4 linked regions of the Caenorhabditis elegans genome follow. The protein of the gene in region 2 interacts with the protein of the main gene of each other region in a pairwise test. Each region holds a gene or a part of one and is shown on either strand. Other genes may lie near its edges.

Region 1 (7,730 bases), 120 kb from region 2:
TTCCAGTGCCTACAATTGCACCTATGCCAGAATGTTGTGGTCAGAATTTATATGTTTTTTTTACTTTTGAAACTTTAGAGGCTCCAACTTAGCTAATCCGTGATTTGTGTTTAACTTTCCTTGAAAGTTTATTGAATGTAATGAATTTTCAGCGCTCACAACCACATATATTGCCTCGCTGGCCGTGGCAACTGCAGTAACCGTGGGTACAGTATGCCTTGCAGTTCTACATCTCATCTACATTCACTTCTACATCACACATTCCAGTAGACGACTGCACATTGTGCTTCTGGCATGCACTGCGCCGGTAGGTTTCTAGCTACTGTAACCCTCGAACTCAATTCGTTCTCCTTTCAGCTAGTTTCCCTACTTGCACTTGTGGCAATGTACATGCCACGTGTATGGTTTTTGTCTCATCTTCTCTCGTTTCTCTATTTTTCGTTTGCTCTCTGGGTCATCATATGTCTACTTTTACACATATTCGATGGACATCATGCCCTTGTCACGAAAATGATGCAGCGATTACAGTATGTTGAGATAGCAACACCTCCATTCTGTTGCCTATTTCCATGTCTTCCAAAAGTCCGACTGGAAGGGTTCGTTTATTAAATAGAAGAAGAATTGAAATTGAATATTTATTTACAGAAAAAAGATAAGATGGTGTGAGCTGATGGTAATGCAAGCGCCGATCGTTCGCTTATTTGCCACACTTGTCTCGCTTGTAATCTACTTTGAATATCAAGATCAGGGCCTTGTGTGAGTAATTTCAAAAACTCTAAATGGAATTGATAATCAGAAACCTGCTGCTTCCAAATATATTGTTTAAAACGTTGAAAAAAAAGAAAATGTTGTGGCTACAGTATCCACGAGAATGTTGCAATTCTCCCCCGAGTTATTCAATATTTTCTGACATATTTGCCATTAAAGCAATCTACTTATTGAAGAAAAACTGAATTTATTTTTCTAAAAGTCTGCCCATTCCTAAATTTCTAAATTTGATATCTCCATTTAATAATTATTTTTCATTTCAGCCCACTAAAAGTGCTCGACTTTATCACACTTCCATCTCTTTTGGCAGGAATCTACGGAACTCACATATTAGTCACAACGGTTTCTCGGATGGTAAGAATTAAATAAAAGCTTATTCTATAACTTTTCATTAAATTTCAGGATGAATTAATCTCGTACAGATATGTTGTTGTATTCCGTCTTCTTGATTTCTTCTTCATGGTGTTCGGATTGCAACAACCAGTTTTTGATTTTCTCGCGAGATATGGAGCATTTGGATGTGGTACTGTACTTCCAGCAATTGAGACTTCTTTCTGTGAGTTTGAATTAAATATTACTCAGATGCGAAGTTTTTGCGATTTTTGCGCCAGGTCTCGGCGCGAAAATTTTTTGTTAAATGCGAGAAGGTGTTCTCCTTTAAAGAGTACTGTAATTCCAAACTTTCGTTGCTGCGGGATTTTCATCGATTTTTCTTAGTTTTTCTCTGGAAAAGTAATAGAAAGTACACAGCAAAAAAAGTTTGAAATTACAGTACCACTCTTTAAAGGCCCACATCCTTTCGCATTTAACAAAAATTTGTCGTGTCGAGACCAGGTACCGTACTTTCGGAGTAAAAATCACAAAACTTCGCGATTGAATAAAAAAAAAATCGAATTATCATTAAATCCAATTTAATTGCAGACTGGAAGAACTTCTTCACAGTAATTGAAGCATTCTGTGTCACATTAATCAGCACTGTACTTCTACAACCATCAAAATCATCATTCTTTGACAAACATCCAAGCTGCCGATCGATGAGCTCTGCGCGGAGCACAATAACTGATGTGGACACTGACGAGTCGACCACTTGAGAATATTATCATTTTCTTCATATACAATAGCTTTTCCCCCTACTTTCTCAATCCGTGATCCTCTTCCACTTTCTATTGCATTTTCTAGTCAACTGATGTCAACTAACTTTTCATCCCTTTGTCTCACCCGTTCGTCCTGTGTGCAAAATGTCTTTGCTGGAATTTGCAACAACCGAAAATTTAAAAATCCCAAAACGTGTAGAACCTCAACCCCCAGAAATGGAAATAAACATTTTCGAACTCAATAAGACTTTACCCTCGCATTTATTATTGTGCTTCAGGAACAGGAAAAAAAACGAAAAAAGACAGAACCAGATAAGAATACGTGCCATTGCAAAATTAAGAAAACGAAACATTGTAATCTACCAGTGTAATTTAGGGGTTTGCTTGTGTGCATTTTTTCTTTTTGAATCTAGACATATTGATTAGGTGATGAAGTGGTGTGGGTGGGGAATGGACACGTAATGGAAGCAAATAAAAAAACAGAAAAAAATTTGATATAATGATTGTCAAAAGATCAACAGATTGTTTCAGAAGGGAAGTATTATAACAAATACATAGAAAAAAAGGAAATCATAAATAGAAAAGTGCGTTAGAATGCCGAGAAAGAGAAAACTGACAGAAAGGCCACAGCCGGACAAATTAAGGTATGGGTGGAACTTGGAATTAAGTTCAAATGACAAAATCCGGGGGCAATAGGGTCACATATAAAATGTTTTTAAAAAATACTGGAGTTTATTGATGTCCTCCAGAGTTCTGTTGTTGTGGAGCTCCTCCTTGTTGCTGCCAGTAGTTGGACCATTGTTGCATGAGTTGAGGATTATTGTAGTATTGGGCGTAGTATTGCCAATACTGACTGTTGGCATTGGATTGCTGTTGTCCAGGTCCTCCATGGCCTCCTCCTCCTTGACCACCTCCGTAAGCTCCGCCACCACCATATCCAGAGTACGGCTGTGAGTTTCCTCCAGACGATGAGTTTCCATAACCGTAACCATAAGATCCTCCAGGAGTTTTTCCAGTCTGAAATAAGATTTTCCTTACTAAAAAAATTAATCAAAACGCTTACGTCTCCAGTTTTTCCCCAGCTACATCTAACAAGCTGTCCTCCGACATCTTGGTTGTTCATCTGGACAATAGCCTTTGCAGCGGCATCTTTGTTGTCAAACTTCACAAATGCATATCCTTGCATCTTGAAAATGCGGACTTCGGTAATTCGTCCAAAGCTGGCGAATCCTTGGCGGATTTCATCTTCTGCAAAAAACATTATAAATTCGACGTTAGAATTTTTCAATGAAAGTATTATAAAATATTAAATTTTTGTTGACTTACCAGTAAGTGAAGCAATGTTTCCGACGTAGACTGAAGTGTTATCTCCAGAAGTTTGATTGTAGATCTCATCGTATGACTTTTCATTATAATGGCTTGGTTTCTCTTGATCTCCTGGCTTTCTTGTAGCCCAATTGGTACGGATAGTTCTTCTTCCGAGCCATTGTCCATTCATTTGCTCAATAGCACGCTCAGCTTCTTCTCTTTTCGGGTATGAAACGAAACCATAACCCTTTGACTTAGTGGTGTTAGTGTCACGGATCACTTTGGCGTCCGAAACATCTCCAAATGGTTGGAAAGCTTCGCGCAGTTTTTGGTTATCAACTTCGGACGAGAGATCTCCAACAAAAACGTGGAAATGTCTGGTAGTGTCAATTTTTGACTGCTGCTGCCCCGGCTCCACGGCCCAGTTGACTTTCATCTCCTGAAAATAACAAATTTGATTTTGAAATAGGTTTTCACATTTACTTTTTTTTATTTATGACACATAAACGAAATTTAATTTTTTAAGCAAATAAACTATATTGCTAACACTTAAAAAAATACAAATTTTACATCGGAACCCAGTGGAATCATATCGAAATTTTGTTTTTTATACAGGAGTTAATTTGTCGTTTCAAATAAAACATACTCTATCAAGAAGAAGTCGCTTGTTCATCGTCTGAAGAGCTTGGGAAGCCTGTCCATGATCAGAGAACTCAACGAACGCATATGGATCATTAGAACCCTGAAATGAAAACGTTTGACTAATACTTTGATTTCCCGGGTTTTCTCTCAATCTCTATGAAAATCTATTCAAAACGCATGTTTTCCTCTTAGTACTTAATTAAAACAACAAAAAATTCAAAAGAAAAAGGTATACACTGTCTCAGTGTCGGTGTGGATTGGTTGCCGCCTTGTGCATTTGTAGCCAGGTACCCCAATTCCTGTGAAATTAGAAAACATCATAATCAAAAAGATTCACATTTAAAAGTAAAAATAAAAGCGGATAAAAATCATACGTACCGCGAGCAAGCAAGAGTTTTCTGTAAAGATTAGTCTTGTTCCAAAGCGAAAAACTTACGTCGAAAATAACTTTGGTCTTTGTAACCGATCCTATTTGATTGAACAAAGTCGCTATAAAGTCCTCAGTGACTGTCGAATCAAGATTTCCAACATACCTGCAACAAAAGAGTAAATTAATTGACAATTTTCAACAAGAAATTCGAAACTTTCCAATGTACCCAACTTACAAAGTTCTTGGTTCATCTGAACCGTTTCCGAGATGAAATCCCTCTCTTTCGGCGAGTTTTGAATGCATTCGGGCATTGTAACCAGTATTGACGTCGTCATTGTAACCATGGTTGGAGTTTGCTGGTGGGTTGAAGAAGGACATGGCTTAAATGATAGATCCCTGTAAAAAAGAAAACGAATAAGAAGATAGAAAATAATTTATGTCGTAATATCGTAAAGAGAGATAAACGTTTAATAAATACTTAAAAAAACAAAGAAACATGCAAAAAACCAATAAAAACAGTGCGGGAACGCTGCGTTCACATTCAAAACTATGCTCGCAAGTGTCGTCTAGAGCGTTGCGGTCAGTGCGCTGCGTGTCACCCTGCGGATCTTACTCAAGCGGCAATTCAAAACAGAGTTTTCAGTTTCGAATTTCTGCAAATAATTTTAAGTTTCAGCCCGTTCCTCCGCAAAAATGGTGAGTATTTTAAAGTTTTAAAACATCAAATCAATTTAGAATTCATTCCAATCAAACAATAGGCGTAAAATATGTTTTCATTCATGTATAAACGTTGAAAATCCATTTTTAGGGTTTAGAATAGTAAGAAATATAATTTTGTCGTTGATAGTGAGAAGCTGACCACTCGTTTCATAACGTATCTGTAAAGAACATGCTTAATATTAAGAACTGGACGTCTAGTACTCACGATGAAGTATGAAAAATATAACTATCGCCAAAATTCCTAGCAAAATCAAAAATCCCACTAAGATCAGAGTTGAACAAAAGCATATTGGTCCAGAAATGCCACATATATTTTTTTCTCTATAGTAACGATAATGCTCATGCGGCATATCTCTGTAAAGTACAGATATCATAGAAATTTGATTCTAAAACTTACGTTCCATAGCTCTCAATCGTGGATACTGTAGGTGTTCGATCTTTAGACTTATTCATTTTCATTAAATTTTTCTGAAAAATTGTTTCTTATTGTACAAAAAATCGAAGAAAAATGAGTCACATCGCACATACCATTGCACTCCGACTCTTATCAATTGATAGACTAAAAACCTATTCATGTGTTTGTTCAAAGAGAAAATTCAATCTAAATAATGTTTTCTGGGGGTCTCTTCGTAAATTTTCGGGTCAATATATCTTTATGCTGCTTCCGATAATCGTTTTTCTCTTCAATTATCAGTTCAATTTAAAAAAATGAAGAACATTTGAGATTTTTTCGGGTTTGGACGCAGCATTATGAACGAGAAATCTTTTGTGGAAGAGAAATTTCAATGCGCCGCAGTTCGGCCAAGAATTTATTGGCTGTTTTTTGGGAAGACACATTACCGATATAAAATGTTTCTTGTCAAAGTTTCATGTATTAAAATACTATTTATTTTGTTAATTTTTTAGTGCAAGCTAATTATTTAAAAACTTTCAGCCAGCCGTCTTCTCATTGGTGCTCGATTCGATGTGCAATAATAATTGTTAATAATTTTTTTGTTTTCATGTATTATATTTTTCTTGTTCTTGTGAATGTTTGTAATAATAATTTGTTAATTTTTTACTATTCTTCGATCTTCAAAAGAAAACGTTTTCAGCGTTTTTAATATTTTATAATTGTGTTTTTCTAATTTTTAATGGATTTATTGATTATCGATTTCAGATGGTTCGTAAAATGAATAAGCTCGCCAAGCGGCTCGCCAGCACTTCAAAAAGTCGTCAACCGGAACCAGAAGTGAGGAAAATACTTTGTTTTAAAAAATAATTCAAAATTTCAGAGCGATTCCGACGGATCCGAATTTGACTTCGATAATGCTATCGAGGAAAAACCAATGGAAGCGATGGATATCGAAGAGGTTGAATCAGACGGCGATGACGATGAAAGAGAGGTGAGAATTACTTTTTTAAAAAGTATTTTCAAAAAAAAAAACTGATTGCAGCTCCAAGCCGCATTCGCTGCTGGTCTTCTTAAAGATGGACTCAACATTCAAGTAGCCAAAAAGCGTCCGATCATCAACAAAAGTGCTGAAATGAAAGAAAAATTGGCTGAAATCACAAAAGATCTTCCATGGGTTGAGACTCTTGAAGTGGTAACTCCTCATTCTGAAATGGACAAGAAAGTGGAAAATGACGACTTCCAAAGAGAGTTGAATTTGTAAGTTGCACGAGGGTTGTATAATTTCGAAAATTCTAATTTTTTAAAGCTATAAGCAAGCTGAAAAAGCTGTTCAAATCGCCTATCCACGTCTTCTGAATCTTGGTATCAAAGTTCTGCGACCAACAGATTACTATGCAGAGATGGCAAAGAGTGACACTCATATGCAGAAAGTTCGCAAGAGACTTCTCGGAATTCAAGAAATGAAGGAACGACAAGAAGCATTCCGCCGTATTCGTGAAGAGAAAAAGTTTGCTGTTAAGGTTCAGAAGGTAATGGTTGTTCAAAAAACCAGAAAAATTTCAGCCTAAAAATTAATTAAAATAACGGAAAAATAACTTTAATTTCTAATGGTTCGATTGGACAAACACTCAAAAATGTTTGCAAGTTGAAAGTTGCAGGATAAAATTTTTTTGCAGCAATATCCAACTTTGATACAGTTTTTGAGCACTTCGCAATTGTTTCAAACTGAAATAAAAATCTATTTCCAGATAAAACATTTTTTCTATTTTCCATCACTAAATTTAAATTTAAAATATTGGTAAAACATGCTATTTACTCTGATTCGTTTTGTAGAATTTACAAAAATAAAATCGTTGAACATGAATATCATTTTTTTCAGGAAGTTCTCGCTGCCAAGAATACAGAGAAAAAGAACCTCGCAGAAGCTGTGAAGAAGCACAAAAAGGGAATGAAACAACAATTGGAAGATATGCTGAACAACGTGAAAAGACATGGTCTTGATCAGGATGATGACGCACCGACTGGAGCATTCGGTGACCGTCTAGGAGGAAGAGGTGGTGCCGGAAGAGGTGGAGCTGGAAGAGGAGGATCGATGAGAAACGCAGGAGAACTCAAAAGAAAACTGAAATCGGATAAATTCGGTTATGGAGGAAAGAAGAAGGGAATGAAGAGAAACAACAAGGAGAGGTAAGAAGCTTCATCGGTCTTTCCTGAAATTATTTTATTTTTTTCAGCTTCAATGATCTGTTCGGAGCTCCACGCGGAGGATTCGGTGGACGTGGTCGTGGTGGTGGACGAGGAGGACGCGGTGGACGCGGAAGACGTTAAGCAAACGTTAAGCCTATTTTTATATTTACAATTTATGAACTTTTGTTACATCATTGTTGATTTTTCCTTGTTATGGATTTCGATTTTCAAAATTTTGTTCTTACAG
Region 2 (8,186 bases):
TATTACCGTCGGACTCGTTTCGATCGGATTCATTCTTTTTGCTGTTCAAGGTATCAGCTCCAACATCGAAGATATCCGAAATGAGATGAATATTGAGATGGATGCATGGAAGGTAAGTAAATATAAAGTCCGTTATATGTTATATAGTAATAAAAATGTGAAATTTTAGTTTGAAACTGACAGTCTCTATCGTGATATGCAAAAGTTCGGCCGTGTTAAACGTCAGTATGGAGGATATGGAGCTTCTGGAGCCAACCCAACACCTCACGGTGGATTCCCAGGAGGCGCATCCCCAATGAATCCAGGAAGCTTCCCAGGAGTTGTCGGAGTGCCACCACAATTCAACCCAACACAAGGAGGAGAACCAAATCCAGGAGGATCTTGCAACTGCCAGGCTGACAATTCGTGCCCAGCTGGACCAGCTGGACCAAAGGGAGCTCAAGGATCTGACGGAATCGACGGAATTCCAGGAGTGCCAGGAATCGATGGACAGGATGCTGACGATGCTCAAGCTCAAACTCAACAATATGCAGGATGCTTCACTTGCCCACAGGGACCACAAGGACCACAAGGACCACAAGGAAAGCCAGGAGTTCGTGGAATGCGTGGAGCTCGCGGACAAGGAGCCATGCCAGGACGTGACGGAACTCCAGGACAGCCAGGAAGCCTCGGACCAGTCGGACCAGTCGGACCACAAGGAGAACCAGGATCAGAAGGAGAACCAGGAGCTGATGTCGAACATCAAGTCGGACTTCCAGGACCAAAGGGAATTTCTGGACCAACTGGACAACCAGGAGATCAAGGACCACAAGGAGATACCGGAGCTCAAGGTATTCCAGGAGCACCAGGAGAGCGTGGACCACGTGGAGACAAGGGAGATAATGGAGAGAACGGTTCTGCTGGAGCACCAGGAGAGGAGGGAGAGCCAGGAACTGATGCCGAATATTGTCCATGTCCTCAAAGACAGGAAAGTGCACCAGTCAATGGAAACCAGGGATACAAGAACAGACGTCATTAGATGCGATTATTTATTTTTCTTCTCTTAAATATTTATATAAATTTTTCAAGCAAGAATCTTACGTTTTAAAACTTTAAAAATCATAAAATTGAAACTCACTTGTGCAAAACAAAATAGTCGATAGCTGCAGGAACTCTTCCAATTTCGAAAATATGATCCATAATTGACAACAAAGCGCGAATCCATTTATTTTGTAACAACTTGACAACATCCCTCTTCTTTGCGATGGCATCCATTTGTGTTAACAGGAATACACGATTCCAAGAGTTTTCAATATCTTCCCATAACCAAATATGTCTTCCAACATCATCGCCAATCACTGCTCTCACTATTTCCACCTCTTCCATATTTTTATTTAGTCGAGCCAATGTCTGTAAAGGATCTTCCAGTCGCTCAGCACGAAGTTCGTCGAGATGACAAGCGTGATCTCTAAGAAATTGTTTCACCCAATCACAGAGTACAGTAATCAGTGTCGGAAGCATCAGTTGACTGTGTTCTTCACATCTCTCCACAAATTCACATATTTCGTTAAGCTTCCGATGAGTTCGAGTGAGGTGGTCGGCCAGTGTTCGTAGCTAAAATAACTTAAATAATTGATAGAAGAAATATTAAAAATTTACATAAGATTTTTGAATATTCGCATACGGAGATTCCATTGGAAAATAATAATCCGAGTTCACTTCAAGACCACCAGACGTCAATCTGTATAGAGGCATCGACACACGATCAGTGCATATTCTTCGTTGAGTATTTTTCTGAATTATAACGTTTATTTTTGATAAAAATTATTTTAGTTTTTGAACTAACTTTAACAGGTAAATCAATAAAGTCGATGAGATGAACAGCGAGCCGTTGTTGAGTGAGCAAATAACTGTCTGTTCTCAAAATAAAATGATTAATATTCGTTTTTGAAAATCCGAATTTCTTACCCATTTCTTTGATGTTCCATACTCTTTCTGTACTCTTGACATCGTTTTACATTGCTATCATGAAACTTTTTTATTTGATGATTCTTACGAGATGAGTTGAACTTCTAAAAAAAAACAGTTTATAAAAAGTTTTCGTTCATCTTCAATTACCTGTAGAACAGCTGGAAACGGATCTCTAGGTGTCGTGAGACATACTGCAGAATCAGCACGTGAGATGTCTCCGCTTCCTCCTTCGTCACGATCTTCTAGACAAGAATTGTAGAACATTGTCTGAAATTTGTTCTAACTATTTCTATATTTGGTTCCCTACAGTACCTCCTGCGTGCATTGATCGAATTCCACAGAAATTCCAACATCGTCGTCTTCATTCATACCTGAATTATATTTTCCTATTTTCAAATACCACAACACATAAATAGAAATTCTGATGAATATAAATACAGATAATTGAATATCTTCTCAAAAATCAAACGACAAAAATTTATTCGAATTATTATTCGTCTCATAGAAGTATCATAATCAAAACACTAAAACTACTGAAATTGTCTAGAAATAACGAGAAAACAGCTCATCAAAATATCTACATTGAACCGATTACCAATCGTTCGAATTAAAAGCTATAGGACTGAGTGAATAAGGGGAAAAGCACCAAAATTAGTTAAATTCAGACTAGTCATTTTCATGGCGTTGGCGGAGAGTCCGATCGGAGATAAGAAGATGCAAATTGTTCGAGATTTCGGAGAAGAAACACTGCTTTTCCTCTGAAAATTAATTTTATTAATTCTTGACACAGATCTAAGAGGACATACTTGATTGTTCCCAATGTTCGAATTGTTGAATCAACTGCATCAATTTGTGTCTTCTGTACATCCAAATCGTTTTTCATTTCTCTATGGACTCCACCAACAGTTGCTTTCAATCCGTCAAAGACTTGGTCCATTTCTCTGAAAACAACAAATTGAATTGAAAACTATACGGTTTAAAAAATACCTGATAGCTTGTGTTTCACAGTGATGAGTATGAGCTGTTGAAACTTGTTGCATTCGAGCAGCTAAATGTGATCTGAACTGTTCTTTCAAATGTTGTTCCTTGGCTCCCGAATTCCAGCGCATTCGTTCCCATGCATATAGTCCAGCGTAGGCCGCTCCTCCGACAGCAATTACTCTCCAACCAACAGCCTTATACACAATACCACCAACAACTAGCACTCCAAGACTTCCGTTTGCTAAAAATGCGGCTGATGTCAAAACCATTTGAGTCATCATTGCCTGTTCTTCGGAAGCTGCAGAAGCTTCTGCATCTCTCACTGAATTCTTTTCGGATTGTTGTTTTAGTGATAATGGAGTAAGCAAATTGGTGTTGATTGCAGTGACAGGTTGGCCGCTTCGATACGCAATGATGCGACGAATTATTGCGTGTAGACCAAATGTGAATCGGAACTCGAGGTCTTCATGGAAATCACTGAAAAATGTAAGAATGAAACACAAAAAATCCATCGAAACTCACTTGACAAGAGCAGGGACATCGACACAAATGCTAAATTTGAAAGGAGCACGATATCGCCACACTTCTTCAAGCTTATTCTGATAAGGTTCGGCGAGGATTTTTGTCACATATTCTGGAAAAAAAATTTTTTATAACACATCAGTTCCCAGATAAACACTTACGGAACATATCATTCTCCAAATTCCAAATTCTTGACATTAGGCCACCGGTACATCTAGCTTCCAAATCACTGCTCAAACATTTGTCCACAAAGATTGCCAAATCCTCTTTATACTTTGTCATTCCGGAAGAGCTTCCATCGAAAGGTTGTTCAAATCGATCAATTATTGCATCAAGTCGTGCTATTTCTTCAAAGAAATCAGCAGAAACTTTCAGATGAACTTCGGCTCGCAGTTGCTCTGTCTGCTCACGGTAAGCTTTTTCAAATTGAGTGAAGTTTACACGGCATTCATTGAAAGTCCTGGTGGATTCGTTTAGATTATTCTGAAGCTTGCTTCTCTGCTCAGCTGCAGAGGTTAGCACGCTATTCAGATTGAGCCGCATTTTTCCGATCATTTCATGAGCTCTCCTGTTATGAGCTTCGAATTTCGTGTGAATCGCCGATCGAGAGATACAATGCTCAAAATGTCGTTCGAAATTTTGGAATTCCAAGGCTCTTGTGCCATGACCTTCTGCTTGATAGGCTTTTTGTACCAGTCCCCTAGCTTTTAATCGTGATTCCAAAACTTCTCTCGATGAAACAAAGAAGATTCGATCATTGACTTCTCTTTCTGAGCACACTTCAAGCTCATCGACCAAAAACTGACGGAATCTCGTCAAATGCTGCTTTTTTACATCTTCGATGTTTTCTGTTTCTGCTGCACTGGCGTCCCATCGATTATTGAGAATAAATACGTTGGGCTTGCTAAGCTTCTTCGCGACTCGAAGGAAGAAGTTCTTTTCGGCTTGTGTCAATGTTGATTCCGCATTTGATACAAGCACAAATACATCTGCATCTAAACAATGTTTGTCAATCCAGCTATCGAATTCTGGAGAAAGATCGACACCAGGGCTATCAAGTATGACGACGTCGTTTTGAAGAAGTCGGCATTCCCCTGATTCCGATTTCTTTGGATGAAACACTTTCAAAAGAGAATCCTGTCCCATTGCCGGAAGATCTGAATTTTCGTCACTCAGTGCGTGTCCAATTTTTCCAAGCATTTTCATATCAATCTTTTGGGGATTATCATCTAATTGTAGATGGCCAACTTCGCCTTCTGAACCTTCAACCTGGAAATTTCAAAAATTTACAATAAAATATGAAAAAAAAGTGATTCTCACCTGCAGAAAGCAACATGTTGTATGTCCCATTCCCTGGGGCAACACTTTCTCATGAAGCATCGCATTGATAGTTGTACTCTTTCCGTTGCTGGTTCTTCCGAAAAATACAACCTTCATGTTATCTCTTTGAAATGTGTCCATTATAGTTTTGATTGAATCGCCAATTGCTTCGATTTCTTCCCGCTGTTCAGAACTAACAAAGTCGTTCTCTTTAATATCTGGAACTTTTGTGGGTTTATATTTGCGGCGAAGTAAAAAACAGAAAATACCTTTGTAAACACCTTCTAGTTCAGCCACATTGTCTTTCAGTTCTCCATAGACATCCCCAAGAACCTTTTTAGCTTCTCGAAATCGAAGAAGTGGTTCATTATCGGCAGCACGACGCGAATTTTTCACTGAAAAGTTTATTGCATTGTTTTTTGAAAGGTTGAATAAACATACAGCTGTGAAGTCCACGATGATTAGAATCACCACTGGCCGGCAGAGTATGAACTAAGCTTGCTGTGCCAGACATTACCTGAAAACTTAAATATATTTAAAGTCTCATAAATCAGCCGGAAATTCGATTCGAGGATTACGAAATCGCTTAAAAGTCTAGAAAACATTAAATCTTATTTGAAATATCGAAAAGGTTATACAAACATCAAATTATTCATTGGAATAATAAAAAAAAATGAAAAGGAACACTCGAATTATCAGAGAATTTCCATTTCTGTCTCCGTCGCGAGCAAAAAAAGAATGTTCACTGGAGCGCGCTCTCTGTACACAAAAGAATCGATTATCGGGAGACAACGATTTGTGAGAAAAATTAGTTGTCTATCGAACTATTTTTGATTAAGAAAAGTTACTGTGCTTTAAATTGCCGTTTTAAACATTAAAAGATATAAATAAACTTTATGAAAGCAGTTTGTAGAAAATTTGTGAATAATGCTTGCTGCAAATTTTTTAATCAGCAAGCCCCCGTTCTTGAAATTCTGCAGTGTCTCTTCTTAAACTTCTGATTGCTTTTTGGATTTATATATTTAGAAAGCAAAAACAATCGAAACATTTCTATTGATTTAGCGGTATTCTATTAAGTTTGAAGTAAAAAAAAACATAAAAAACATTTATTCACTAAATAATTCACTAAAGTACACCGTACATGCAATGAGACCGGATGCAGGAATGCAGAAAAATCATAATTATAAATAGGAAACAATATTCAGGAACAATCCATATTGTCGTTGAAGGTACATTCGTCATCCGAAAGGCTTAACGGAATTTTTGGGCGATTACTATTTGGCTTGGTCGTCTTGACTACGTTTCCATTTTGAGATGATTGATATGTTGATGAGGGATATGTCTTTCTTGGTTTAAATGATTCCGAGTTTGAGGAAGACGGTTGAAGAGTGATCTCGTCTGCTAGTGGGATCGATGGTCGAGATTTTCTGGGAGCCTGAAAACATATTTTAATTTACAAAATAATAATTTTTTGTTACCTCTACTTTGTTTTCTTTAACAAAACCAGCATTGCGACCAGCATCTTTTTTGGCTAAGTCGTTGATCCAACTTTCCAATTCGCGATGTTTCTTTACACTTTTAACAGCTTCGTTCCTTTTGTATTTTATGTCGTTGCTAGTGTATTTGTTAGAATGAGAATTAGCATGATGTTCTTTCCTAGTAGTTTGTCTTCTATCAGAATTCGAAGACTTCCTTGAACTATTTAGTTGATCCGAATCCGTTTGTTGTTTCTTCCGACCATGAATGGTGTCCATGAATGATTTAACTGTCTCAACGTGCAGATCATGAGTCAGTGCTTTGTTTGAAAGATTCACATCCTCGGTGACGAGTATAATAGCACGATCATTGAGGTTCATTGTAGATGGAATTGACATTACTGAAAATTGTGGTATATTCTCGAATCTTAATTTAAGAAAAAAACTTACTTTCTCTTTTTATTCGCAATGCAGTTCTTAGAATCAAATCATCTACAACAGTTGTGTTTGCACTGAAGCCGTTTATCTGAATCTGTTGCTCTGTGCTCGTCTCGACATGCAAGTACTGATTCTTCTCTTCCAGAAGATCTTTTATACTATTATTTGCACAATTAGCTACAATTCGAGTGTGTCCTGATCCGTTTTTAAGACCATCTAGCTCAGATAATGTAAAATATGGAATGACTGTGAGAATTTGTTCTGAAAATAATAGAAATTTCAATAATAATATCATTCTCTATATTTTACTTTCGATGGAAGCATTGAGAACATCAGGATTTCCCAGAAGAGCACAGGTATCGAATATGGCACACGCACGATAATGCAAATCTTTGAATGGTCGAACTTCAGAAGACCATGGAACACGTGGTAGCATTTTATTGGAATGAGATTCTACCTGCAACTGATTTTTATTTTAAAAGAGCTTAATAATTATATCAACACTAACGCCACTGCAGCTGGGAATGTCTTCTTTTTTCGTTATTCTCTCCGAACTGTCCGATCTTCTTGGCCTCTTCCATGAAAACTCTTCATCATCCAACTTCTCCATAGACTTCCGCTTTGGCGGGGGTACCACATCGACTTCCTAAATTTTAATGAATAAATTAATCTGTTAATTGATAATTAATAGTTACCATTTTATCATCATCCATGGTCCCATGGATATTTTCCTCTACATCTTTCCGTTTTCTCGTTTTCGCTTTAACCGGAGATTTTTCCTCATTTTTTCGGGTGTTTGGATGATCCCATAAACTTTCTTTTGTCTTATCATTCGTATAAAACTTCCGTTTCTTTTCCGTGTGCCACCAGGCTTTCCATGGAGGTGATACATTTTCCGTTTTATCATCTAACCTAACTTTTTTTGGTTTTTTTGGAGAAGCCATTATTTGTACTCTGAAAACTGGTGAGGTCCTAGGAATAAAATCATTCGTGGGAAACAAAGATAAATTGAGCAGCATGGTTAAAACCGATATAAAACAAGCGATTTTTGATTAAAAACATTAAAAAAAAATTATAGTTTATATACAAGTAAAAATTCATAATTTAATAAAAATTACACATTTCCACTGAAAAGACGATTCGCATTTGCCTCAATTAATTGGAATTCTGGTGTTTCTAATCGATCACTGAGAAACTTCCTTTCATCTTCTGTTAATGTTTCTTCAAGGCGTCTCAGTGCCATCAAAATTTCAAATTTCCTTTCCAGATACCCTTGCTTCGGCATTTTTTGAGATCGGTAGTTGGTTTCTGTCTGAAAATTAAATTTTAAACGATAATATCATTGAGATTAGTTACCATCATCAATTTTTCTCGTAAAAGACCAGTATGTTTTCCAGCAAATAAAGCCATAATTTCAGGTGTTTTGAAGGCTTTACTTATTGCTGTTCGAATCGCAATTTTAGTCGCCGTGAGATCATCAATTAAAGAAACATCTCCGCC
Region 3 (6,567 bases), on a different chromosome or scaffold from region 2:
AAAATGTTATTTACAGGGTGAAGAAATGGCAAAATTGAACCCTAACGATTTTCTGAACCACAAACTGCTGGAAGTTTCGAGTTTGGATCAAACTGGTATACCAAGAACATAAATAAAAACCGCCCCCAAGAACATTCTATTTCAGTGTTTATCAACGTCAATCTCGTGTTTTCGGCGCTGAGCATTCAACATGGCTCGGTTAGATCAATTGTCAATGCTATGTCAAATCACTGGATTGACTACGTGAGCGATCAAATATTACGTTCTATTTTTGACTATTTAACATTTCAGCTGATTCCGAGAGAGCAACAAGGATCCTTCACGACAAGCAAAAAGACGGAGCCTCTTACTTTCTTCCCAGGAGACTTGACAAATTGGCCAGCCGGTTAGTTTATGATTTACATGGGCGAGCCACATAAAAATCGTTTTCAGCTCTTCTCGCTGCGGCAATCAAGTTGGACAACGACCAGGTGGACGTTACTCGCCTTCCAAGTGTGGTCAATATGCTGTTCAAGCATCATATCAAAGTCAGATTGTAGGTTTCTTGTTATTTACTTTAAAAAGCCAGCGAATAGAATTTTTCTTTAACTTGAAAAACTATGTTTTCACAAATGTCTTTTTGCAGCGATCATGCCCGTGGTTTGTATCGAACAAAACACGACGGCCAGAATCCACCAAAAATTGTGCTGCCAAAGCGTCCCATCATCGATTGCACACAATTCTACAAGAGCAGCGAGGATATCGATGAGGAGCAAGTTCCATCAACTTCGAACTTTCAATCATCTTCGAACTCTCTATCAACTTCGAAATCTGCTGGAAGGGAAAATATCCCAGACTCCCCATAAATTCACTAGTTCTCCTGTTTTCTGATACTTTCGAAACTTGTTTTTTTGTTTTTTTTTCCATTTTTCGTTAAATGTTTTTTTTCTGTTGTTTTTTCATTTTGTTTCATTTTCATAATAAATCGTGTTATTTTTTATGGTTTTATAAAAGTTTAATCCAATATGAAAGCAAAACTAGCTAGCAAGAAAGCATAACTACGTAGCAAAACATCACCGCTAATCAGCGGAAAAGCACAATTACTGCGGTTGACTAAGCCGTGACATAAATGCTAATTAGCAGTGATTTTCTATCGCTCTGCCGTGACTCCAGTCTATCTGAGGGGTACTGTAGGGGTACTGTAAGGGTACTGTAGTTTAGGAAAAATTGACTTTTCGTGTTTAGGAAGAATATTGGCTTGGGGTTAGACTGTCGCAGTACTGTAGAGGTAGTGTAGGATTACTGTAGTCTTGGAATATCTGACTTTTCGTTTTTTGAGAGGATATTGGTTTGGATTTAGTGGGGTTAGATGGTCGCAGTACTGTAAGGGTACTGTAGGATTACTATAGTTTAGAAAAAATTCACTGAAGTTTAAAGGAAAAGTCGTGGTGAGACCTATCATGGCTAAAGCCATTCGTTTTGGCGGGAATTCAAATTTTCTGACTATGAGAAAAAATTTTGGCAAGAAATTCAATTTCTGAGAAAATAAAACTTTCTAGAAAAATTTTGAAAATTGTGGAATTAATATAATAAAAATTTTAAAACGTTAACCTTTTTCAGCCATTCATTTCTTAAAACAAAATCACTCCGAAAAACGTTGATCTGGCTCTTGATTCCTGTTATCTACGGTTTCCTCTGGGCAGTCAATTTATATTGTACACTATGGGTCAACACGGATACTGAACAGATATTACAGGGGTGAGTAAAATGAAATGCTTGTTGTACTCTGTTGAACTTCTCAGGAATGGGTATTTACGCGAGAATAAGTTAAACATATCCGACGTAACATATATTGGGCCCAACTATTGGAAACTTGATGAAAATAGAAATGAAGTTATAAATTGGAGAACAATGTTGGGAATGTCTATTGCATCGACACTGATCTCGATTTCCTTCGCAATGATTGTCATTTTTGCAACTTTAAGCTACAAAGAGGTCTCCAAGCTAACCGAGCTGACTTCCCACTCCGAAAAATTCCGTTCAATTCAACTGCAACTTTTAAATTCTTTGGTGTTGCAATCACTTGTCCCGGCGTTTTTCATACAGTTGCCATCGTTCGTCCTATTTCTGGCGCCTTTTTTTCATTGTGGAAGGCCAGTGTTTGGCGAGATAATTGGTGTGACGGTTGCTCTATACCCAGTCTTGGACTCACTTCCAACAATTTTAGTGATCAAGGCTTTCCGTGAAGCAATATTTCGTGAGTAAAAGTTGCCAGCCAAATAAGTTGAGTGTATTTTCCAGATTGTTGCCCATTCACTAATAAAAATGCTACACTTCCCACATCCGTAGCACTGGTTACTATTCAATAATAATACATTCAATTTAAATGATAGAAAATGGACTGTATAACTTAATCGAAACTTGTTTTTACACTTTGCAAGAATCTGATTATTTTAAAATTTTTGTAGATCACAACGATATGGGACATTATGACACCACGAGAGAAATGTCTGAAAATTTACACACATCAAAGTATATACAATAAATCGGTCATTACGGCTCATTTTCTATCTTTTAAAGTAAACATTTTGCGTCAAGAATACGGTAGCCGGTCTCGACACGACAAGCCTTTGTCAAATGAGAAAAGGTGTGCGCCTTTAAAGAGTACTGTAATTTCGAGCTTTTGTTGGTACGGAACTTTTATCGATTTTTTTTTAGAATTTACGTGTTTTTATTTGTTTTATTCAAGTCTTTTTATTAAATAATAACAGTTGAGACGAAAATATGAAAACTCGATGAAAATTCCACAACAACAAGAGTTTGACGCTACAGTAATCTTTAAAGGAGCACACCCGATTACATTAAACAAAAATAGTCGCGTCCAGACCTGGTACCATATTTTTGACCAAAAATATTCATTATTCCGCGAATTAATGATAACAAAAGTCAGAATTTTGTTTAGTTTCGGGAAAATTCGGAGCAAAATTCAGAAAAATTCAAAATTTGACTCGATGCTCGTTATTTTCCGGAGTATCTGTATTTTTATCGTGAAATCCAGTTCACATTGGGTATTCCGGGCGCCTTTACTTTTCTTTTTTAAATTTCCTAATCAATTTCTATATTTTTATGTATAAAAATCGATCTAAAACGAAACGGGTATTATTTAAAATTCAAGCGTCTCCCGCCAAGCGATTATTTTCTCTGCGTCTCTCTCCTTCGCACACTCTCTGCCTCGCTCGCTCAATAGAGCGCGTTTGCCATTGGCAAATTTTCTCGAAGAATTCCTCATTTTCTCGATTCATTTCCTTCTTTTCATCGTTTCTGCTCACTTTTATCTCATTTTTTTTTCAGATTTTTTCAATATTTCGGCAAAAATGACGGACGCCGTAAGTTTTTCAACAATTAATCAATAAAATTCAACTAAAATTCCCTATTTTCAGGCGATTGCTGAAAAAGATCTCGGAAATGCTGCCTACAAGCAAAAGGACTTTGAAAAAGCTCATGTTCACTACGACAAAGCGATCGAGCTTGATCCTAGTAATATTACCTTCTACAACAACAAAGCCGGTAGGTTTTTATTTAAAAAAAACTGTAGATTTTCCCTAATTTTCCGAATTTCAGCCGTCTATTTCGAGGAGAAAAAATTCGCGGAATGTGTGCAATTCTGCGAGAAAGCCGTCGAAGTTGGACGCGAGACCCGTGCCGATTACAAGCTTATCGCCAAGGCCATGTCTCGTGCCGGAAACGCTTTCCAGAAGCAGAATGACTTGAGTTTAGCCGTCCAATGGTTCCACCGCTCGCTCTCCGAGTTCAGAGACCCCGAGCTTGTCAAGAAAGTCAAGGAGCTCGAGAAGCAGTTGAAGGCGGCCGAGCGTCTTGCCTATATCAATCCAGAGCTTGCCCAGGAGGAGAAGAACAAGGGAAACGAGTATTTCAAGAAGGGCGACTATCCGACAGCGATGAGGCACTACAACGAAGCGGTGAAGCGTGATCCGGAGAACGCGATTTTGTACTCAAACCGGGCCGCGTGTCTGACGAAATTGATGGAATTCCAGAGAGCTCTTGATGATTGTGACACTTGTATTCGGCTGGACTCGAAATTTAGTACGATTTTCTAATTTTTTTGCTCAGAATTAACTAAAAATTGTATTATTTCAGTCAAGGGATACATCCGCAAAGCCGCTTGCCTCGTCGCAATGCGTGAGTGGTCGAAGGCTCAGCGAGCCTACGAAGATGCTCTCCAAGTCGACCCATCCAACGAAGAAGCCCGTGAAGGTGTGCGTAACTGTCTGCGAAGCAACGACGAGGATCCCGAGAAGGCCAAGGAGAGAAGTCTCGCCGATCCAGAAGTTCAGGAGATTCTCCGCGACCCAGGAATGCGTATGATTCTCGAGCAGATGAGCAACGACCCGGGAGCCGTGCGAGAGCACTTGAAGAATCCGGAGATCTTTCAGAAACTCATGAAGCTCCGCGACGCTGGAGTCATTCAGATGCGCTAATTATTTGATTGCTCCCGGTTTTTCACCCATTATTTGATTTTTATTTGAATTTTTCTCCCCCCCCCCCCCCCCATGGTCTGTGTTTTTTGCATCTCGCTCGTCCTCTGGACTCGTCTTCAAAATATAAAAATATATTTATCGTCGTCGCAACTAAAAGACAAACAAAATCTCATTAATTTCAGACATTTTTTTGTACTTCGCACTACAAAATTGTTCATTCGACTGGAAGCTGAACCAAAAAATTCGTCGAAAACAAAAAAGTCACAACTTCCTTCCCTTATGTCTTCTTTGGTGACGTCGGTAGCGATTTCAGCGATTTTTTTCACCGAAATCAACGTTTTTCTGAATTTCTACCTGCTTTCTCAAATATTTATACGAAAGAAAATCCAGAAAAAGCCAGAATTATCACTGATTTATTGCCGTTTTCTAATCGACGTGATTTATTCTTTCGATAGTGAGTTATTTTTAAGCGGAATCTAGGAAATTTCTCCAAATTTGCCCGATTCTGCTCGAAATCGCGAGTTTCTTTCCCCAAAACCATTTTCAAACGCGCGCCAGGGACATTCTCATTGGAGCGCGCCGCGTGTGTCGATTTACGAGAGTTCGCATTTTTCTCGAGTTTTTTGCGGAAAAAATCGAAATTTCAATGTTTGAAGCGAGAAAAAGTGATGAAAAAAAAGGAAATTCATTGAAAAAATCGGAAATCTGAAAAATAAAATTTTCTTATAACCTGAAACATGGTAAAATCTTAATGTAAGTGTTCAAATTATCAGTCATACGTAAAAAACGGAAAAATTATCGGCAATTTGCCGGTTTGTCGGAAATTTCGAATCCGGCAATTTGCCGATTTACCCGAAATTTCGATTCCGGCAATTTGCCGGTTTGCCGGAAAATTCAATTTTAGCAATCTGCCGATTTGCCGGAAATTTTCAATTCCGGCAATTTGCCGGTTTGCCGGAAATTTAAATTTCGCCAATTTGCCGATTTGCCGGAAATTTCAATTTCGGCAATTTGCCGATTTGCCGGAAATCTTCAATTCCGGCAATGTTCACGTCACATATTTCTGGCGAAAAAGTTCCCGCATTTATTGTAGATCACACCGAAATGGGACAGCCTGGCACCGGGATTCCCAGTCAGGGGTTGGCGGCAAACAACTTTTCCGGCAAACCGGCGAATTGCCGGAATTGAAAATTTCCGGTAAATCGGCCAATTGCTGGAATCGAATTTTCCGGTAAATCGGCCAATTGCCGGAATTGAAGATTTCCGGCAAACCGGCAAATTTCCGAAATTGAAGATTTCCGGCAAATCGGCAAACCGGCAAACTGCCGGAGTTGAAATTTCCGGCAAATTGGCAACAAACAAGAATTAAAAAAAAACAATTTCAGCATCAATATTTTTGATTTATTCCCTGATAAAAACGCTTTTTCCCGAGTTTTCTGTGAAAAACCTGGCATATTTCGTCGCTTGGCCCGGCTTCAACTTGGGAACTATTCGCTGCTGGATTGTATTTTTTATAACATCCGATAGAATTTTCGCAACATGCGCTCCGATTTCATATCACAATCATCGATTCAAAATTCCGCTCGCCGTGATTATCATCCTCATCTCCGCGTACACAATTCTCGAGCAATATATTTTATTCGGATATTGCGATTTTGTTCTAGACGTTCCCGCCGATTGTGCCATTTTCCGGTGTGCAATTAATATTTGCTATCACGAGTATTGGAAAACTTTTTCGCAGGTTTCAATTTGCAGTGGTGGTGCCGCACAGAAAAAGAGGCGGACACGTGGTGTCAGGCTGTCTCATTGCGGTTTGATCTACAAAAAATGCGGGAATTTTTTTCCTAGAAAAATTGTGACGTCAGCACGTTCTTAACCATACGAAATCAGTTGAGAACACTACGTATCATTCTCCCGCATTTTTTGTAGATCAAAGCGAAATGGGACTTTCTGTTTAGACGTGGGCGGAGCGGCGTTTTGCAAACTTTTTGGAGAAAACTAGAATTTGTTGCTTTTCAGGGAAAATCATATTTTCTTGCCGCAGGTTTGCAAAACGACGCTCCGCCTCTTTTTCTGTGCGGCACTGCAA
Region 4 (8,652 bases), on a different chromosome or scaffold from region 2:
TTTAGTTTCACGCTGAAAATGTGAATTTTCTGCGGAAATAGACTGAAAAATCAAGTTTTCAGGCGAAAAAAGACTGGAAACCTGTATTTTCGGGCAAAAATTGATCGAAAAATCGAATTTCCCGCTGATATTCCGTGAGAATCTCTAAAAATTCTTGATTTTCCAGCTCACCAACTCCTCTTTCCGACTTTCCCCGGAAACCTTGGCAGAGGTGAACAGTATTCTCTCAATCTACCTCGGAACCCACAATTTCTTCAATTATACCGCTAAAAGAGCCTACGATGATATGAGCTCCAATCGATACATTATCTCATTCGAATGCAAAGAACCATTCCTTTTTCGTGACGATTTTCGTAAAGAAGACGTGGAATTCGTGCAAATTGTGATTAAAGGACAATCATTTGTACTTCATCAGATTCGAAAAATGGTCGGAATGGTGATTACAGTCATTCGGGAACTGCATTTAAAGTCGTCGATTCAAAGATCATTCGAGGGACAGCGAGTTCGTGTTTTTTTCCTGTTTTTTCGGTGTTTTTTCAACTTCAAACAGTCGAAAAAACACAATTTTTAAACATTTTTTCGATATTTTCGCGTCGAAAGTGTGAAAATATAACATTATTTGTGTTTTTTTAAATCTTTTTCACCAAAAAATATTTTAAAAACCCTATTTTGAAGCGGCAAACGCGCATCGTTGCGAGATCACGCGCACGAGGTACATGTCCCTTTAAGAATTGTGTAGATTTACGCAAGCGTGTACTCCTCGTGGACAATTTCGAATTATTTTCCGCAAAATTTAACAGTTTTCGCGCAATTTTGCCGCTTTTTCACGAGTTTAACACCTTTTTTAGACGAAAATAATTAATTTCTAACGAAATCCAAATGAAAAAGAGATTAAAAAGTGCAAAAATCTAGCATTTTAGCCGAAAACTTTTAAACTTAAAAAAATAAAAAATTTCAGATGGATATCCCAATGGCTCCAGGACTGGGTCTCCTCCTCGAGCGGACTCATTACGATTCCTACGATCGAAAGAATTCAAAATCCCACGAACCACTGACCGATTGGGGAGAGATCATCGAAAAAGAAATCGAGCGGACCAAGTTCGAGCTCATCACCAAGGATATGATCGAGACGGAGCTGCTCACTCAGGGAATGCTCAAATGGCTTGCGGATCTTGTTCATCACGACTTCACGGCTAATGCGGAAGCTGAGGAGCCCGAGAAGAAGACTTTTGTGACGATGGCGGCGGCTTGTGCGAGCAAGGCGGCCAAGGAGCAGGATGGTGTTGCTCCAGAGGCTCAAGATGCTCCGAAGGAAGCCGAGGCTCCAGCAGAAGTCACTCCTGAGCCAGTAGCAGCGACGTCGTCTGGATAATTTATAATTTTTGATTTAACTGCTGTAAAATTTGTTGTTTTTGTTGATTGATAAATTGTTTAAAAGTAAAAAATAATAATAATTTTATTATTTTGAGAGAACACATAATTCTCAGACAGACAACAGACGACGTACTACTTGGCATATTCAATAATTATTAATAAGTGGAACGAATGGAGGTGAGAGCCGCGTGGGCGAGCAGAAGACGTGAAAGAAGAAGTGCCTCGTGTTGGCGGCGAGCATCAGCGATGAAATCGGCAGCAACTCTACGGGTGGCCCCGTCGGTCAGCTGAAGAACACGAATCGCGTCGGACTTTTTGCCAGACTTCCAGAGTTGCTCGGCACGTGTGAGCAAGGTGAAGTTGTTCTCGACAGCTGGGGTCAGGCTGAAATTATAGTTTTTTTACAGATAGATATCATTTCAGACACTACTACCTCTCATTAGCACCCTTCTTCGGGACGAGCTCAATAGTCAGGGAAGACTTGAGCCACGAGTAGAGATGAGCCAGAGCTCCACCTTCATTGACATAGGCAACACGACGTCCGATTCGGCAGACTTTGTTGAAGCGTGTGTTCAGATCCTGCTCCGTGTACTCCCCGCGGACTTTTGAGGTTTTCGACATTGCCGTATTGATGGTTTTCACGAATTCATCAGAGTTTCCACCACCACAGCACGAGAGAAGTGTCTTCATTTGATCTCCCAGTGGAGCACGTCTTCCCTCCATGCAGCAGCTGGCTCGATTTCCGAAAATTACAGTTCCCTTCAGATTTTGGGTGGCTAGCCACATTTGTTTCGATCTGGAAAAATGGTGGGATTTTTTTCAGATTTTGATTCAAAACATTTTCGCACAAGTTGGCGGATTTTGATTGAAATTGTCGATTTTGGACTGTTTACGCTTGAATTTAACTAAAAAAAAAGTCAAAATATCAATAATTCATCGAGTTTTAAATGAAAATCGATATTTTGACTATTTGGAATGCTAAAATCAAGCAAAAATTGCCAAATACCAAAAATTTCAGCCAAAAATAGGATATTTTGGTCATTTTAAAGGGTAAAGAGCAGGAAAAGTACTCCAAAATTGAGATTTTCAGAAAAAAAACTTTAAAATTCTCGTCGTGTAGTACAAGAGCCCGCGTAAATCGACATTAAATCCAGTACTTTCTATTCTCAATATCCATTTGAAGATGTCCAGAAAGCGCTTTTTCAATTCCAGCCAGCTGAGCCAACGCTTTTCCGACCGCCGACGAGTGGAGCTGAAATTTTTTTCAATTTTTAAACAAATAAAATCCGGAAAAATCGTTAATTTTATACATTTCTCTCCTTCAGAACAGCTTCATCTACATCCTTCGCGTGCTCAATATCGTACAGCTGCTTCTGAGTTCGAACGACTTCTTTCAGCTTTTCGTCGTATTTTTTCTGAATTTCAGCAGTGGCACGAGCGAGCTCCGCGTCGAGCTTCTTCTTATCGAACTCTGGGATCACTGCGGCCTGTTTGGCATTGGTCTCGAGACGAAGCTTTTCGAGAAGATCTTCCTTCTTCTTTGCAATGATCGATTGGATGCGTTTTTCCTCGTTTAGCTGGAAAAAAATCGATAAAAAACGGGAATTCGGAGCTGAAACATTTAAAATTTGGTTTCTTTTTGAGGAAATTTGTTGAAAAATCGGGAAAATTAACATTTTTCATTGAAATCTGAAAAAAACAGATTTTCAAAAAAAGGCTTTAATTTTTGAATTAAGAAAATCATGTTTTTTTAAATTGAATTTAATTGTTAATTTTCTATAAAAAATTTTATATTTTCCGGAAAATCGGAAAAAATGCCAGAATTGCAGAATGACCGTGTAAAACTCTTCCAGCGTCTCGTGTAGATTTACGCCAATCGTGTACTCCCCGTGGAGAAGTTTTTTTTAAAGTTTTCAGCTGAAATTCGCGATTTTAGACCATTCTTGCCTGTTTTCAAAAGCCAAACCGACAATTTTCACATAACTATCGCTTTTTATTTTTTAGAGATACATAAAAACCACATTTTGCGGTTTAACTATTTGAAAACTGGAATTTTTCTTTTTTCTAGTGGAATAGTAAAATGTGATAAATTTGCGATTTGGCTATTAAATTTAGGTGAAAATAGTCCAAAATCAAGCATTTCAGCTGAAAAACTGTAATAAAACTTCTCCTCGGGGAGTACACGAGCTGCGTAAATCGACACACATAATTTTCAATTTTTTTTCGTTCTTTTTTCAAAATTTTCAGGAAAAAATGCATTAATTCACAGGAAAAATTCGAAAAATCGACTTTAGAGGAGAAATTGAGATTTAAACGCAATTTTCTTTACAACTATGCCAAAAAAATGAATATTTGCCTTGCTATCAATCAATTTCTGGCTGAGCTGATCAATTCTCAAGTGAGCATGAGCCAAAATCGTGTGCAAATCCGCTTTTTTGATCTTCATTCCATCTTCATAATTCAAATTCGGATGAACTGCTTTCAGTTCCATTTGGAATTTCCTGCGGCTCTCCGCTACACGATCACTGTAGTCATGCACGAAAATACGCTCCGAATCGACATGTTTCACGTTTGAAATCATCTCATCCAGCTCGTTTGAGAGCTTTTCAGCAGTTGCTTTTGAGATTGGAACCAGTGGATTCAGCTGAGTAGTCTCACCTTGACCGCCGAGGTTTGCCTCCGTGACAAGGTCAGCGACGGCATTTCTAGCCAATTTCTCGGCTTTTTCATCCTTTTCAGCGAGCCGTTTTGCCTTCAGATGAGCAACAGTCACTGAATCCCAATCTCCGTCTTTTCCAGCTTCAATAGCCTCACGAATTGTCTGAACGTGATGCTCAATAGCTCGAATCGTTTCCAATTTGGCGCTAGTCGCAACTTTCGTGGCTTTTTCGGCTTGAGTTAGGTGGTTTTTCAGGGATTCCGTGAGCTTTTCGTTCCTTTCCTGGGGATTCAGTGGAGTCTTCGCGCCGATGTATGGATTTTCGGGCTTTTTCTCGATTTTCTTTGGTTCAGTAGTCTCTTTCAGGTTCTCCTTAACTCCGATCAGCTCTTTTTTCACGGGCTTCGGCTCAAATGGCTTTGGTGGAACTTTCGGATCTGCGGAATATTGCAGAGGTCGAAGATCTTTAAGACGAGGCGCCGGCGGTTCTTCTTCTCCGATCGTGTAATTCAAAATAGTTCGAGAACCGGGAATCACGCCTTCTAGCTGGAATTTGATTTTTTTTTTGTTTTTTTTTAATTTTAAATTTTAAAACCTTCTTTCTGAACTCATTATCATAAGAAGCGTATCCAGCAACTCCTGCTGCACCAGCAGTTACCGCTCCAACAGTGGCTCCGACAAACTTGAGACCTCCCGAAGAACCAGTTGCTCGAGAAGAAGCCAGTCGCTGAGTCTGAAAGTTCCCGAATTTGATTAATATTTAATAAATATGAACATACCAATAAATTACGACTTCCACGCATGACTTTTGAATTAAAAATCTGAAGAATAACACTCAAAACCGCTCGAAATGATTGAAAAATTGGAAAAATTATATAAAAAAGATTTTTAAATCTGTTTGACGTGTCACGTACTTTCGTGTACACGGTCACGTCAGAATGCAGATTTCAAAGTCTACCGTAGTCCTGGATTGTGAACTCGATAGATTTTTTGACATTTTTTGGCAAATTTCAGCGAAGCAGAAGAGTCTTCATTGGAAAAATGGTTTCCTCTCAGCTAATTGATTTCAAATCGGCACCCAAGCGCGCACAAAAGCTCATCGGCAGCGACTTCATGGTGGTTGCTGCATAATTTAATCTGGCGTTCTAACTTTTTAGTTTAATCTGGCGTTCTAACAGCGAGATTTTCCAATATTTCAAAAACAATTTTTTAGGTTCGATTTCTAATTCGAAAATTTGAACTTCCAGAACAAAACAATCTAGCTGAAATAAATGTTTGTCTTAAGTATTTTCCAAAAAATGCAAATTTGCTTCAACAGGACAGCTAGATTTTCCAATAATTCAAAAACAATTTTTTAGGTGCGATTTCTATAGTTGAAACTTGGAAAATGATTTTTCTCAGAAATTTGAACTTCCAGAACAAAACAATCTAGCTGAAATAAATGTTTGTCTTAAGTATTTTCCAAAAAATGCAAATTTGCTTCAACAGGACAGCTAGATTTTCCAATAATTCAAAAACAATTTTTTAGGTGCGATTTCTATAGTTGAAACTTGGAAAATGATTTTTCTCAGAAATTTGAACTTCCAGAACAAAACAATCTAGCCCTAACAACTTGTGTCTAAATTATTGGAAAATCTAGCTTTTCTGATGGAACAATTTTGGAAGAAAAAATAAAAAAATTTGTTTCCTCATTTGTTTCGATCAAATTGTCATTGTTTGTTTGCAAAAAAATATAAAATATATTTTCAGTTACACCAATTCATTCAATAAAGAAAAAGTAATAATTCAATCAAAACATACACATATATAAATAAATCTTCGGGCGTATCATTAGACAAGAAAATCTGATGAAATTTCAAACATTTTTTGCGGTGAAAAGTGAATAGAAAAGAACAAATTTTGGTAAAAATTGGACAAATTTGGAAAAAAATCGGGAAATTTTCGAGGATCATATGGCAAATTTTGTGTGCGCTGGGTGGGGGTTGGATTCCGATTTTTTGGTGAAAAACGGGGAAAAACGTAAAAATTAGGAGGATTTTTCGACTAGGAATGTTTTAAGAAATGGGTGTGGGAACACAGGGAATGTGAGTGAGAAAATTTGGAAAAAAAATTATGAAACAAGAAAAAACGAAATAAAATTTAAATGGATATGTGACAAGAAGATGCAAAAAATATGAAAAGTTTCTCTGGGGGTCCTGCTGCTGGATATTATACGTAGACCGGAGTCACATTGTGCTCTTTTTCGTAAGCCTGCCACCTCACATCATCACTTTCATGAGTTACGAATCGTTGACCGACAGCTTTTTCCAGTACTCGTAGATCCGACCATAGGGTGTAGTTCTGAAAAAAAAAGTTTTTCAATTTTTTCGTAAAAAAATTAATTTTCGAAATTATTTTTTATTGAAAAACCAACAAAAAAAAAATGCATTTTTTGCAATTTGTATTATTTTTTTTCAAAGGATTTTTGCGCTTAAAACAATTTTTATTTATCCTTAAAAAAATGTTTAAACCGATTTTTCTGTAAGTAAATTTTTTTTCGGATTTTTGGATTAAAATTATTTTTTTTTGCAATTTTTCTTTACTTTTTTTGGATTTTTCTAAATTTCATATGATTTTAAAATGATTGCAAATTAAAAAAATACAATTTTTTTCTAAGTTTTTCGGATTTTTTTCCCGATTTTTTGCAGGTAAAACTTTTTTTTGCTATTAAAAAAAAATTTCAAACATTTTTTCTAAATTCGAAATTTTTTAAAGCCGATGTTTCGGATTTTTTCAAATTAAAAAAAAAGAGATTTTCGTATTTTTTCCTGATTTTTGTGTTTTTTCCCCAAATTTTGAAAATTTTAAATTTTCGTTAAAAAAATATTTTAGAATTTTTTTTCACAATTTTTACAGTAGAAAGTAAAAAAAAGTTCAGCTTTCAATTCACAGAAAAAATCTTTAATTTTCTTTTTTTAACTTTTTCAGCTCGAAAAAATTTTCGCTGCGAGACCCAAAAAAGGTCTCCATATGCCTACCTGCATCCAGATCTGCGACTGCGCTTTCGTCACCGTATACCGCTTGCTCATCTTAACTTGGAGCAGTCCGTTGATGAATTCGATAGCTGCAAAAGAATTCAATAAATCTCACAGATTCTTTTCTAACAAAAGTATTCGCCCTACCATTCTCAGAGATCTCCTTCCACGGTGTCGGCGGGTACATGAATTCGGCGTTCTGAATCTGATCGTTGATATCCTCGTCCTCGTTGAACGGGAACGTTCCCGACAGTGAGACGTAGACAATCACACCGACACTCCACATGTCGAGCGATCGATTGAATCCCTTGTTCCGTAGAACTTCAGGCGCCAGGTAGGCAGGCGTTCCGACGACACTCCGCCTGAAGCTCTTCTCTCCAATGATTCGAGCGAATCCGAAATCGCAAAGCTTGACTTGTGGGAAGTCCGAGTTCGAGTTGAGAAGGATATTCTCCGGTTTCAAGTCACAATGCACAATATTCAAATGATGAAGGTAACGGAGAGCTTCAAGGATCTGAGCCACCAGGAACTGCGTAGTCCGTTCCGAAAGCCTTCCTTTCTCACTGGACAAGATCATCTCCAACATGTCACCCTTCAGCTTCTCCATCACAACAAAGATCCGATCAGTCGTCTCAAGCATCTGCATGAAGTGAACCACCCCAGGATGGTCGACCTTCTCCAAGATCTGCACTTCAGCCCGCAACAGATCCTCCTTGTTCGGCGGGAATTTCAGCTTATCGATGAGCTTCACGGCGACGTGTTGACCATTTCGTCGGTGGATTCCTCCGTAAACAGTACCAAACTGTCCGGATCCGAGGACTTCTTCAGCGAATATTTGATAAAGTTGTGAGAATTCGTGTTCCGTTTGGATTTTCGCGCCAAGGTGCCCAGTTTCTCCTGAAAAAAAACAAGATAGTTGTACGTCATCATCGAATTCGCCAAAAAAAATTGTGCAAATCCCATTATTTATTTGTTAAAAAACAGTTCTACTGCAACTAAAATTCGCCAAATTTTCTTCCGGCAGCAGTGGCGCGTGTTCAAAAAACAGGAAAACATGTTGATTTCAGAATCCGTCTCCCCCGATCAATCTTCACCTAATTGTGTCGCAATTTAACGACGGCATACGTAAAAAGTCAACGATTGATGTGTAATGCGATCTCTATATAGTCTTGGTCCGAGACAAATCGAAAAATTGATAAAGTACAGGATGACCTGTGTGTGACGAAAGGGCGAGAAACGTGAAGATCAGAAAAAAAAAAGAAATAAAAAATAATTGTCAGACTATAGGTCGCGAGACTAAAGTTAAATGCTATCAATTTATATCTTATGATGGAAGAGTTTCAGCGAGAGGCTGTGAAGCTCGGCCGCCGCTCCGCACACTGTTGCGTCGCAGTGGCGGCTCACAACTTTCTCGCTGAAACTCTAGTACACGTGGTGTCAGAGTGCCTCGTTTTGGCTTGATCTACGTAGATCTACAAAAACTCGGGAGAAGAGACGCTGAGTTCTCAACTAATTTCGCATGGTTAAGAGCGTGTTGACGTCACATTTTTTTGGGCGCAAAATTCCCGCATTTTTTATAGATAAAACCATAATGGGCCAAAGCCT

Evidence for each region.
Region 1: the proteins of fzo-1 (region 2) and tiar-1 interact in a two-hybrid assay, tested with the Caenorhabditis elegans proteins (one large-scale study listed by BioGRID).
Region 3: the proteins of fzo-1 (region 2) and sti-1 interact in a two-hybrid assay, tested with the Caenorhabditis elegans proteins (one large-scale study listed by BioGRID).
Region 4: the proteins of fzo-1 (region 2) and immt-2 interact in a two-hybrid assay, tested with the Caenorhabditis elegans proteins (one large-scale study listed by BioGRID).

What each region holds. Positions count from the first base shown.
Region 1 is NC_003280.10:5,710,246-5,717,975, forward strand, and holds tiar-1 (Cytotoxic granule-associated RNA binding protein tiar-1), read right to left. Parts: upstream 4,579-7,730; 5' UTR 4,561-4,578; coding exon 4,418-4,560; intron 4,346-4,417; coding exon 4,249-4,345; intron 4,112-4,248; coding exon of another isoform or gene 4,048-4,111; intron 3,913-4,047; coding exon 3,817-3,912; intron 3,610-3,816; coding exon 3,189-3,609; intron 3,111-3,188; coding exon 2,926-3,110; intron 2,880-2,925; coding exon 2,595-2,879; 3' UTR 2,106-2,594; downstream 1-2,105. Other genes in the region: osta-2 (Organic solute transporter alpha-like protein 2), read left to right, coding at 153-307, 358-596, 646-756, 1,032-1,122, 1,171-1,324, 1,690-1,859; lelo-4 (Late ELOngation arrest), read left to right, coding at 4,679-4,878, 5,837-6,005; C18A3.10 (uncharacterized protein), read right to left, coding at 5,050-5,060, 5,108-5,256, 5,300-5,355; C18A3.3 (putative rRNA-processing protein EBP2 homolog), read left to right, coding at 6,062-6,133, 6,177-6,287, 6,339-6,553, 6,603-6,825, 7,176-7,483, 7,531-7,624. UniProt on the Caenorhabditis elegans protein: Acts downstream of ced-9 in the induction of germline apoptosis under different stress conditions including starvation, osmotic, oxidative, heat shock and UV stress.
Region 2 is NC_003280.10:5,830,914-5,839,099, forward strand, and holds fzo-1 (Transmembrane GTPase fzo-1), read right to left. Parts: upstream 5,291-8,186; 5' UTR 5,288-5,290; coding exon 5,215-5,287; intron 5,169-5,214; coding exon 5,043-5,168; intron 4,992-5,042; coding exon 4,774-4,991; intron 4,723-4,773; coding exon 3,615-4,722; intron 3,566-3,614; coding exon 3,454-3,565; intron 3,409-3,453; coding exon 2,938-3,408; intron 2,892-2,937; coding exon 2,757-2,891; intron 2,709-2,756; coding exon 2,627-2,708; 3' UTR 2,415-2,626; downstream 1-2,414. Other genes in the region: gtap-1 (Dynein heavy chain 7, axonemal), read right to left, coding at 1,118-1,593, 1,639-1,773, 1,826-1,898, 1,948-2,051, 2,098-2,217, 2,263-2,319; col-74 (Nematode cuticle collagen N-terminal domain-containing protein), read left to right, coding at 1-112, 170-1,018; ZK1248.15 (WW domain-containing protein), read right to left, coding at 5,975-6,208, 6,252-6,649, 6,699-6,947, 6,996-7,143, 7,195-7,332, 7,382-7,630; ZK1248.19 (Beta-catenin-interacting ICAT domain-containing protein), read right to left, coding at 7,801-7,998, 8,043-8,186. UniProt on the Caenorhabditis elegans protein: Probable transmembrane GTPase. Mediates mitochondrial fusion. Fusion of mitochondria occurs in many cell types and constitutes an important step in mitochondria morphology, which is balanced between fusion and fission.
Region 3 is NC_003283.11:770,238-776,804, forward strand, and holds sti-1 (Stress-induced-phosphoprotein 1), read left to right. Parts: upstream 1-3,280; 5' UTR 3,281-3,353; coding exon 3,354-3,365; intron 3,366-3,419; coding exon 3,420-3,546; intron 3,547-3,600; coding exon 3,601-4,083; intron 4,084-4,137; coding exon 4,138-4,478; 3' UTR 4,479-4,538; downstream 4,539-6,567. Other genes in the region: str-238 (Seven TM Receptor), read left to right, coding at 1,600-1,737, 1,782-2,236, 2,281-2,348; srbc-58 (Serpentine Receptor, class BC (Class B-like)), read left to right, coding at 4,758-4,932, 5,864-6,219. UniProt on the Caenorhabditis elegans protein: Plays a role in gonad development. Up-regulates longevity and thermotolerance. Binds daf-21/hsp90 and inhibits its ATPase activity.
Region 4 is NC_003283.11:16,785,563-16,794,214, reverse strand, and holds immt-2 (MICOS complex subunit MIC60-2), read right to left. Parts: upstream 4,949-8,652; 5' UTR 4,837-4,948; coding exon 4,813-4,836; intron 4,767-4,812; coding exon 4,629-4,766; intron 4,580-4,628; coding exon 3,731-4,579; intron 2,952-3,730; coding exon 2,685-2,951; intron 2,627-2,684; coding exon 2,532-2,626; intron 2,171-2,531; coding exon 1,808-2,170; intron 1,759-1,807; coding exon 1,530-1,758; 3' UTR 1,442-1,529; downstream 1-1,441. Other genes in the region: pus-1 (Pseudouridylate synthase 1 homolog), read left to right, coding at 167-502, 959-1,372; Serine/threonine-protein kinase dkf-2, read right to left, coding at 6,242-6,373, 7,051-7,136, 7,195-7,944. UniProt on the Caenorhabditis elegans protein: Sustains mitochondrial morphology probably through maintaining cristae morphology. May act as a component of the MICOS complex, a large protein complex of the mitochondria.